Macaca fascicularis: one gene and its partner. The protein of the gene in region 2 purifies or fractionates together with the protein of the main gene of each other region. This does not show direct contact. Links are inferred from orthologs where the notes say so. Each region holds a gene or a part of one and is shown on either strand. Other genes may lie near its edges.

What was found.
Region 1: the proteins of MARK2 (region 2) and FUCA1 purify together in Homo sapiens (affinity purification with mass spectrometry; 3 studies listed by BioGRID and IntAct, counting the BioPlex papers as one, with this or other methods). This does not show direct contact. The link is inferred for Macaca fascicularis from reciprocal best matches to the Homo sapiens genes MARK2 and FUCA1.

Annotation. Positions count from the first base shown.
Region 1 is NC_088375.1:211,261,227-211,265,035, reverse strand, and holds part of FUCA1 (tissue alpha-L-fucosidase), read right to left. Parts: coding exon 3,676-3,809; intron 893-3,675; coding exon 793-892; intron 575-792; coding exon 434-574; 3' UTR 1-433. UniProt on the Homo sapiens protein: Alpha-L-fucosidase is responsible for hydrolyzing the alpha-1,6-linked fucose joined to the reducing-end N-acetylglucosamine of the carbohydrate moieties of glycoproteins.
Region 2 is NC_088388.1:10,500,448-10,504,256, forward strand, and holds part of MARK2 (serine/threonine-protein kinase MARK2), read right to left. Parts: intron 3,677-3,809; coding exon 3,419-3,676; intron 2,385-3,418; coding exon 2,358-2,384; intron 228-2,357; coding exon 183-227; intron 1-182. UniProt on the Homo sapiens protein: Serine/threonine-protein kinase. Involved in cell polarity and microtubule dynamics regulation. Phosphorylates CRTC2/TORC2, DCX, HDAC7, KIF13B, MAP2, MAP4 and RAB11FIP2. Phosphorylates the microtubule-associated protein MAPT/TAU.

The DNA of each region.
Region 1 (3,809 bases), on a different chromosome or scaffold from region 2:
CCTTTGCATAGTGTTGGTGACAACCGATGCTAACTAAATAGCATGTGGCTGAGCTTGCCAAATCCTTTCCACCTCCTCCCATAGGCAACAGGGTGACTTGGCTGAAAGGTATTGAGTAAGCAAGTAGGTTATCAGAGAACAGAGGGAAGATTCCATTGTAGATAATTTCAAATATTAGAATTGATGAACTCAGAGTTTAACTGCTCAGTCCCTTCTTCTGCTGACCTGATACAGATATAATCGCAATGGATCTCAGATCTTTGGTCCATTAAGACATCGGGGTAACGTACTCAGTTCCTTTGATTAAAATGTGTTGGAAAAGCCATCTCTGGGTGGAGAAGACAAGTTCGTTGATTATAGTGATGGTATTATAAGAGGAAAACTGAAGCAGCAAAACAGCAGGCAGCGCCTCTTTCTTCTTGCACTCAAATGATTACTTCACTCCCGTCAGCTTTATAGTCCAAGCAAACTCTGCAGGAACAGCAGAGGGTGGCAACTGGGGCAGAGAGATGAGGAGACCTTTATCTGGATCTGTGGACCACTTCAGATCTCCTTGAATTCCCAGCATCATTATCTGCAGAAAACAAAAGGGAATGAAACCAACTGGTAATGCACTAATGAGTAGAGAATACAGGCTGACTATGGTGGGAAACGGCCATGCTGGGCCAGGGCAGGAAAGCCAGTCTAAAAGAGGTATGAATATGGGAGAAACCTGGCAGGGAAGGAAGAAAGGATGAATCTGCCAATTCCTTTACAGAAAGTTACATCTTAGGACTGACTGAGCCTCCTTACCTTCGTAGTTGAGGTAGTTATGGGAGATTCAAGGTTTAAGACTCCATTTTCTGGCCAATGCAGAAAAATGGCATAAACAGCTGATCCCTTTGAGGTATACCTGGGAAAACAGAAACAACACTGTCAAAGATACCTGGCTTGTTATCCTGATATACAACTTTATGCATTCCCTTTTAATGTTAATTTTAATTTTTTTTTCTTTTGAGACAAAGTCTCACTCTGTTGCCCAGGCTGGAGTGCAATGGTATGATCTTGGCTCACTGCAATCTCTGCCTCCTGGGTTCAAGCAATTCTTGTGCCTCAGCCTCCCGAGTCACTGGATTACAGGTGTGCGCCACCATGCCTGGCTAACTTTTGTATTTTTAGTAGAGATGGCATTTTGCTATGTTGAACAGGCTGGTCTTAAACTCTTGGCCTCAAGTGATCCACCTGCATCGGCCTCCCAAAGTGCTGGGATTACAGGTATGAGCCATTGCACCTGGCTCCTTATTTTTTTATTTTTTTTTGAGTCAGAGCCTCACTCTTGTCCAGGGTGAAGCATGGTGGTACAATCTTGGCTCATTGCAACCTTCACCTCTCAGGTTCAAGCAATTCTCCTGCCTCAGCCTCCTGAGTAACTGGGATTACAGGTGCCTGCCACCATGCCCAGCTAATTTTTGTATTTTTAGTAAAGACGGGGTTTCACCACGTTGGCCAGGCTGGTCTTGAACTCCTGACCTCAGGTGATCCACCCACCTTGGCCTCCCAAAGTGTTGGGATTACAAGCGTGAGCCACTGTGCCTGGCCGAATTTCTCTTTTTTAGTGATGGAGTCTTGCTGTGTTGCCCAGGCTGGTCTCAAACTCCTAGGCTCAAGTGATCCTCCCACCTTGGCATTCGAAAGTGCTGGGATTATAGGTGTGAACCACTGCACAAGGCCACTTATTCGCCTTTCAATTATCTACCAAATCCCAGTCCTTGAGTCTGTCACTGCTAATAGGGAGCACCAATAACTCACTACCAATGAAGGTCTGCAGGAAGGAGGCAGTTTATACAACTCTATCTGGTGATATCTTCCATTTTCCCTGCCAATTGGGTCAAGTTGTCTTTAAAAATTAACTCCTACACCAGTTACTTCAAATAAATGAGGCCATTTACCTTATTATTCAAATCTCTTTTCTATTCCAAATCCATGTGAAAATAGCAGAGACTATAACAAGGACAAGATATGCAATGAAGACAGATTTGTTGTTCAGAGATTTCTTTCTTTTTCTTTTTTTTTTTTTCTGAGACCGCACCTGGCCTGTTCTGAAATTTCACTATCTTTAGAGAAGAGGATGAAAATCACTACTATGGTTTGAATGTGTCTCCCAAATCTCATGTGTTGGAAACTTAATCTCCAAATTCATATGTTGATAGTACAGTATTTAGAGGTGAGGCCTTTGGGAAGTAATTAGGATCAGATAAGGTGATCAGGGTAGGGCCCCACGATGGGACTGATGGCTTTATAAGAGGAAGAGAGACCTGAGTGGACATGCCCACTCTTATCCCCAACCATGTCATAATGTAGCAGGAAGGCCCTCACCAGATGCTGGTGCTATGCTCTTGAACTTCCCAGCCTCCAGAACTGTGAGCTAAATAGACCTCTATTCTTTAAAAATTATCCAGTGTAAGCCAGGTGCAGTGGCTCATGCCTGTAATTCAAGCACTTTGAGAGGCAGAGGCGGGTGGATCACGTGAGGCCAGGAGTTCGAGACCAGCCTGGCCAACGCGGTGAAACCCCGTCTCTACTAAAAATACAAAAATTAGTTGGGCATGGTGGTGGGTGCCTATAATCCCAGCTGCTTCGGAGGCTGAGGCAGGAGAAGTGCTTGAACCCGGGAGGCAGAGGTTGCAGTGAGCTGAGATTGTGCCACTGTACTCCAATCTGGGCAACAGAGTGAGACTGTCTAAAAATAAAATAAAATAAAATAAAAATCCAGCCTGTGGGATTCAGTTATAGCAACAGAAAACAGACTAAGACAACCACTAAACAGAAACTCAGCCAAAACAGAGGGATTAATGGAGGGATTAGATCCAGAGACCTAAGCTCTCTGGTATAATACAAGCAGTTCCCTTTAATCGAACACTTAGTTTGTGCCTGGCACTCATCTCATTTAATCCTCACAACAACACTATAAAGTATCGTCACTCCATTCTGCAGTGGAAAAAAATGGGACCCAAGATCAAATAACTAGATCCCGAAGTCCAAGTATGAATGGAAAGAATTTAGAATGGGGCCCTGTGCAACCCAAGCATTCGTTATTACTATTTTTAGGGGGCAGGGTAATAATCTCAATAAATTGACAGATGCTTTGTTGCTCCTTCCCTTTTCACCAAACCCACTCTCTCCCCTCACTGGTCAAAGATAACCCAGTAGCCTAAGACATAACTCAAATGGGGCACAAATTTTTTTTTTTTTTTTTTTTTTTTGAGACGGAGTCTCGCTCTGTCGCCCAGGCTGAAGTGCAGTGGCCGGATCTCAGCTCACTGCAAGCTCCGCCTCCCGGGTTCACGCCATTCTCCTGCCTCAGCCTCCCGAGTAGCTGGGACTACAGGCGGCCGCCACCTCGCCCGGCTAGTTTTTTTTTTTGTATTTTTAGTAGAGACGGGGTTTCACCGTGTTAGCCAGGATGGTCTCGATCTCCTGACCTCGTGATCCACCCGTCTCGGCCTCCCAAAGTGCTGGGATTACAGGCTTGAGCCACCGCGCCCGGCCGGGGCACAAATTTTATGGGAAAATGACAGCTTTTGGATTTTCTCAAGGCAACTTCCAGCCTGGCTTGTAACATTGTGGACCCAAGGAGATACCAGTTCCAGATGGGGCACCATCCTGTTCTTACACACAACAGAAGACGAGACTCACCATACAGATGTTGTGTTCTTTTCCCATTGCACCCGCCACGGTTTGGAGGCATAGATGGCCTCTCCGTTGATGCTCAGCCATTTCCCAAGAGCAAGAAGTCTTTCTTGGAAGATGGGAACAATCAATCCATCTTT
Region 2 (3,809 bases):
CATTAACTCCTGCAATTGGGTTTGGGAAGGGGAAACTCTCTGAGGAAAGGGAGGCCCCAGAGGGTAGGGACAGGGCAGAACCACGGGAGGAAGAGCCAAGTGGCAGAAGGAAGAGAGGAGCAGGAGGCTTGTGGCAAGCCCGGTGGCCCGGGCAGGGCCAGTGCTGGCTCCAGCCCTCTCACCTGAGCGTCTCCACTCGGTCTTTGCTTTCAGGTTCATTCAGGTTCCTCAAAAAACAGAGCGAGGGAGAGTTTAGTGCTGGGATCTCTCGCTCCTTCCGCCGCCACAGACCCAGATGAGAGTGGGTCTGGGGAGGTGCCACCAGTGGGTGGGCAGGACCCAAGCCCAGGGCCCTCTGCCCATCACCTGGCAAGCCAACAGGGCTCTGCAGCACCTCACACTGGCGGCTCAACCATTCCTTTCCAGCAGGGAGCCCAGCACATGGGGCCTGTCCCTCCCCACACTCCCAGATCTGTGCCGGGGAGAAGGAGCCTCCGCTCTGGGGGAGGAGGGGGAGTGGCTGTGCACGCACTTCACTGAGCACACCGAGCACACAGCCGGGCACGAGGCTGCTCCCCCACAGCCAGGGCTCACGCGCTGTTCTGGGGGTTGCGGGTGTGAGTAAGTTTTTGGAGCCACACGCTAGGGTCTCAGGACTGCAGTCCTTTTGGAGGAAAGGGGCTGCAATGCTTTGGGTCTCTGTAGGAGGAGGGGCTGTGGCTACGCAAGGGTCTCTGTCAGAAGGCTCAAAGTGCCAAGGCCTGGGTCTGCATGGTAGGCACCTGGGGATGGGTGCCTGCTGCTGAGTGGAAAAGGCCGCCTCCTCCGACCTTTCCCAACTCCCCTACCTGCTGGCCTGCCAGGCCATCTGCTCATACACAGGGAGGACGAGGGCGGGGCGGGGCAGACACCTTGGGTGGGTGGGTGGGGAAGAGGTCTGGCCCCGCTGAGCGGCTTCTCCAGCTCCTGGCTGGAAGATGGGTGTCTGGAACTAGGAAATTGGGGATTGCAGAGGGAGGATGTGAGAGGAAGGAGAAAGAGCAGCAGCACATAGAAATAAACAGGAAGACACAACCAACACAGGGGTGCACACAAGCGCACTGCGAGCAGGGAGCCCGGCTGTGCGAGGAAGGCACCCGCCCCGCTCTCTCCAGATGCCCTGTGGGGCAGCCCCCTGCTGGGGCCCCTTGAGGCAGCAGCCAGCCAGGCAGTCAAGCGCTGGGTGAGAGGAGGAGGGGATGGGGAAAGCCTGAAGACCCTGTCTGGACGTTCCTCCATCAGCTGTGGCACCAATGTGCCTGCCAGGCATCCCAGTTCCAGTGCAGGGCCTGAGCAGACAGCCCTGGGGAACAAGCACTCTTAACCTGGCCCTTGGTCTTCAGCTTGGTATTTGGCCCCCGAGGCCTGCAGAGAGGATGAGCCTAAGGCCAGGGGTGAAACAGCCAGGAAGGGGCCCATGAAGGGAGACCCCTGGGTAAGGGTGCAGAGATCTGTTGTTTTGCTAGGGCTTGGGGTAGAACGGCCCTTGCCCTGGAATGTCCCAGCTCCCGGCACTTTGGAAGGGACAGGCCATATCTGGAGAAAACAGCCCAGAGGAGAAGAGGCTTGATTTATCCAGATGCTGCTGGTGGCAGGGGTGTTGGGGCAGGGGTGCGGGTGGGTGGGGCTAGTCCTGCAGGAGCTGCCAGGAGGGGGTGCTGTGCTCCATTTGTGAGACAAAAGCTCCTAAGGTCTGGAGGATCTAGACTGAAACCTTGGGGCCCCAGGGTCCCTGTAGTGTCTCCAAAGTCCTGCCATCCCATAGGCCAAGGGGAAGAGGTCACACAGCTCTGAAGTTCAGGAAGCCCAGGACACAGACAAGATACCATCCCAGATGCACTTGTAACCCTGGAGCTTCCTCACAGCGCATGCACATGACAGGGGAAAGGGCCAGGAAAGGATCCCAACACTGTGACCAAAACCTGGAGTGAGGGGGAGTGGGGATGGGGTGGGGTGGGTGAGAGGAGACAATCTTAAAGGGAGGCTTCCCTGAGACAGTCTCCCCTTACTTGAGGACAGGCGTAACTGTGGGCCCAAGGAAGGCCCCTCATTTTTAAAGCCATTTGCCCTGAGTGGGCCAATGTGGCCTCTTAGCCCTGCCTGTTCGTACTGGGGGCACTGAAGGCAGGCCCTGTGCCGTTGCCCAATCAGAGGCAGTCTTCATCCCTTTAAGATGGCAGAGAGAGGAGGGCCACACAGACTTGGTTAAGCAGATGGAGGAGAGTAAGAGCCAGAAAAGGGGAGTTAGTGATGGAGGCAGGACACAGGACACGGACACACACACACACACACACACACACAGCGGGCTCAACGCCTACCTTCTGGCAAACCTGAAAGACAGATTTCTAAAAAAACAAACAAAAAAAAAGACAAAATAAAAAAAGAAATAAAAAAAAACCAACAAGACGGTATGTGGATAAGCAGGTGGGGAGTGGCTTCACAGGTTCAAGGGTCATCCCATTTTCGGAAGAGCCGCTCAGCGAGACTAGAGTCCCAGGCTTTCAGACCTGCCCACCCTCTCTGCAGGCCTCACACCTGCATTTTGGGGTTCAGATGGGGCAGTGGCTTTGGCTCCTCCAGCAGAGTGGAGTGAAACGTAGAGGAAGGGCAGGCGAGCCTGCTCTCTCAAAGCCCCTGCTGCTTCCTGAGCTGCTACTCCAAGGCAGGGAGAGGAATGGGCATGACAGGGACGCGGAGCATCCCAGGAGGCCAGCCAGTTGGCTGGATGCACTTCAAGCTGCCCCTCTGTGGTGGCTGGGGGCTCAGGTGTGAGAAACCCCATGAAGAGATCCCCACCCTGGGTCCAACACAGGAAAGCTTTGGCACAACCTCTGGTTAGGCCACTGTGGGCCCTCGCCAGTGATTTCATTTATAGGTTTCACCGTAAGAACCCCCGGGCGGAAGGGCACGGCTGTGGCTGCAGCCACAAACAGAACCAGCTAAGGGGAGAGGCAGTCAAAGGGACAAGAGACCAGGACAAAATTTTCCTTGCTGGCCCCAGCCTGGCTCATGCCTCATGACTTTGCAGCTGCGTCACCAAATATAAGTTTCCATGGGAACCCAGGAGAGAAGGGGGGGCTTTTATTTTAGCATCTGAGTTCACACTCTCCTAGAGAGGAGGCGGCATCGGCCATCTGCTTGGGGCCAGAGAATGAGGGGTGCCTGTAAGGAGTTGGGGAGAGGCCTAAGAGGGGTGGGCCTGGGCATACAAGGTGTTGACAAAGACCCAATTTCTTGTGCTTCCCCAAGCCTCTTCTAACCCCAAGACCCAATACCAGTACAGAGTGTCCCAAATCCCAACCCCCAACCCCTAACCCACTCCCAGTCAGGTGGGAAGGCCTGGCCTAAGCCTCTCTGCCACCCAAAGCTCCTTGCTTACCTGCGTACAAACTTGGAGGTGAACTTGCTGAAGATGCTCCCAGAGGCCCCCCGCCGGCCCTGGCTGTGGCCAGAGGGAGAGGCTGGGGTCACACCATAGGGCAAATTCTGCTGGTCCCGCACCTGTCGGAGCTGCCCAGCATGGAAGGTGCTTCGGCTGGACACACCCCGGGGGAAATTAGTTCGGTCTGGGGCTCCACCACTGCTGCTGATGTTGTGGGCGGATGGGGAGGCGACAGGGACACGTTGGGGGGCTGTGCTGTGAGAAGAGAAGTGGGGTTGAGGGGGATGAATTAGGGTACAGGACAGCCATCATCACTGGGCACCTGGACACCCTGTGGTGGGGACAGGGAGGGGGATGCTAGGGCAGAGGCAGCCATCACGAGGACACA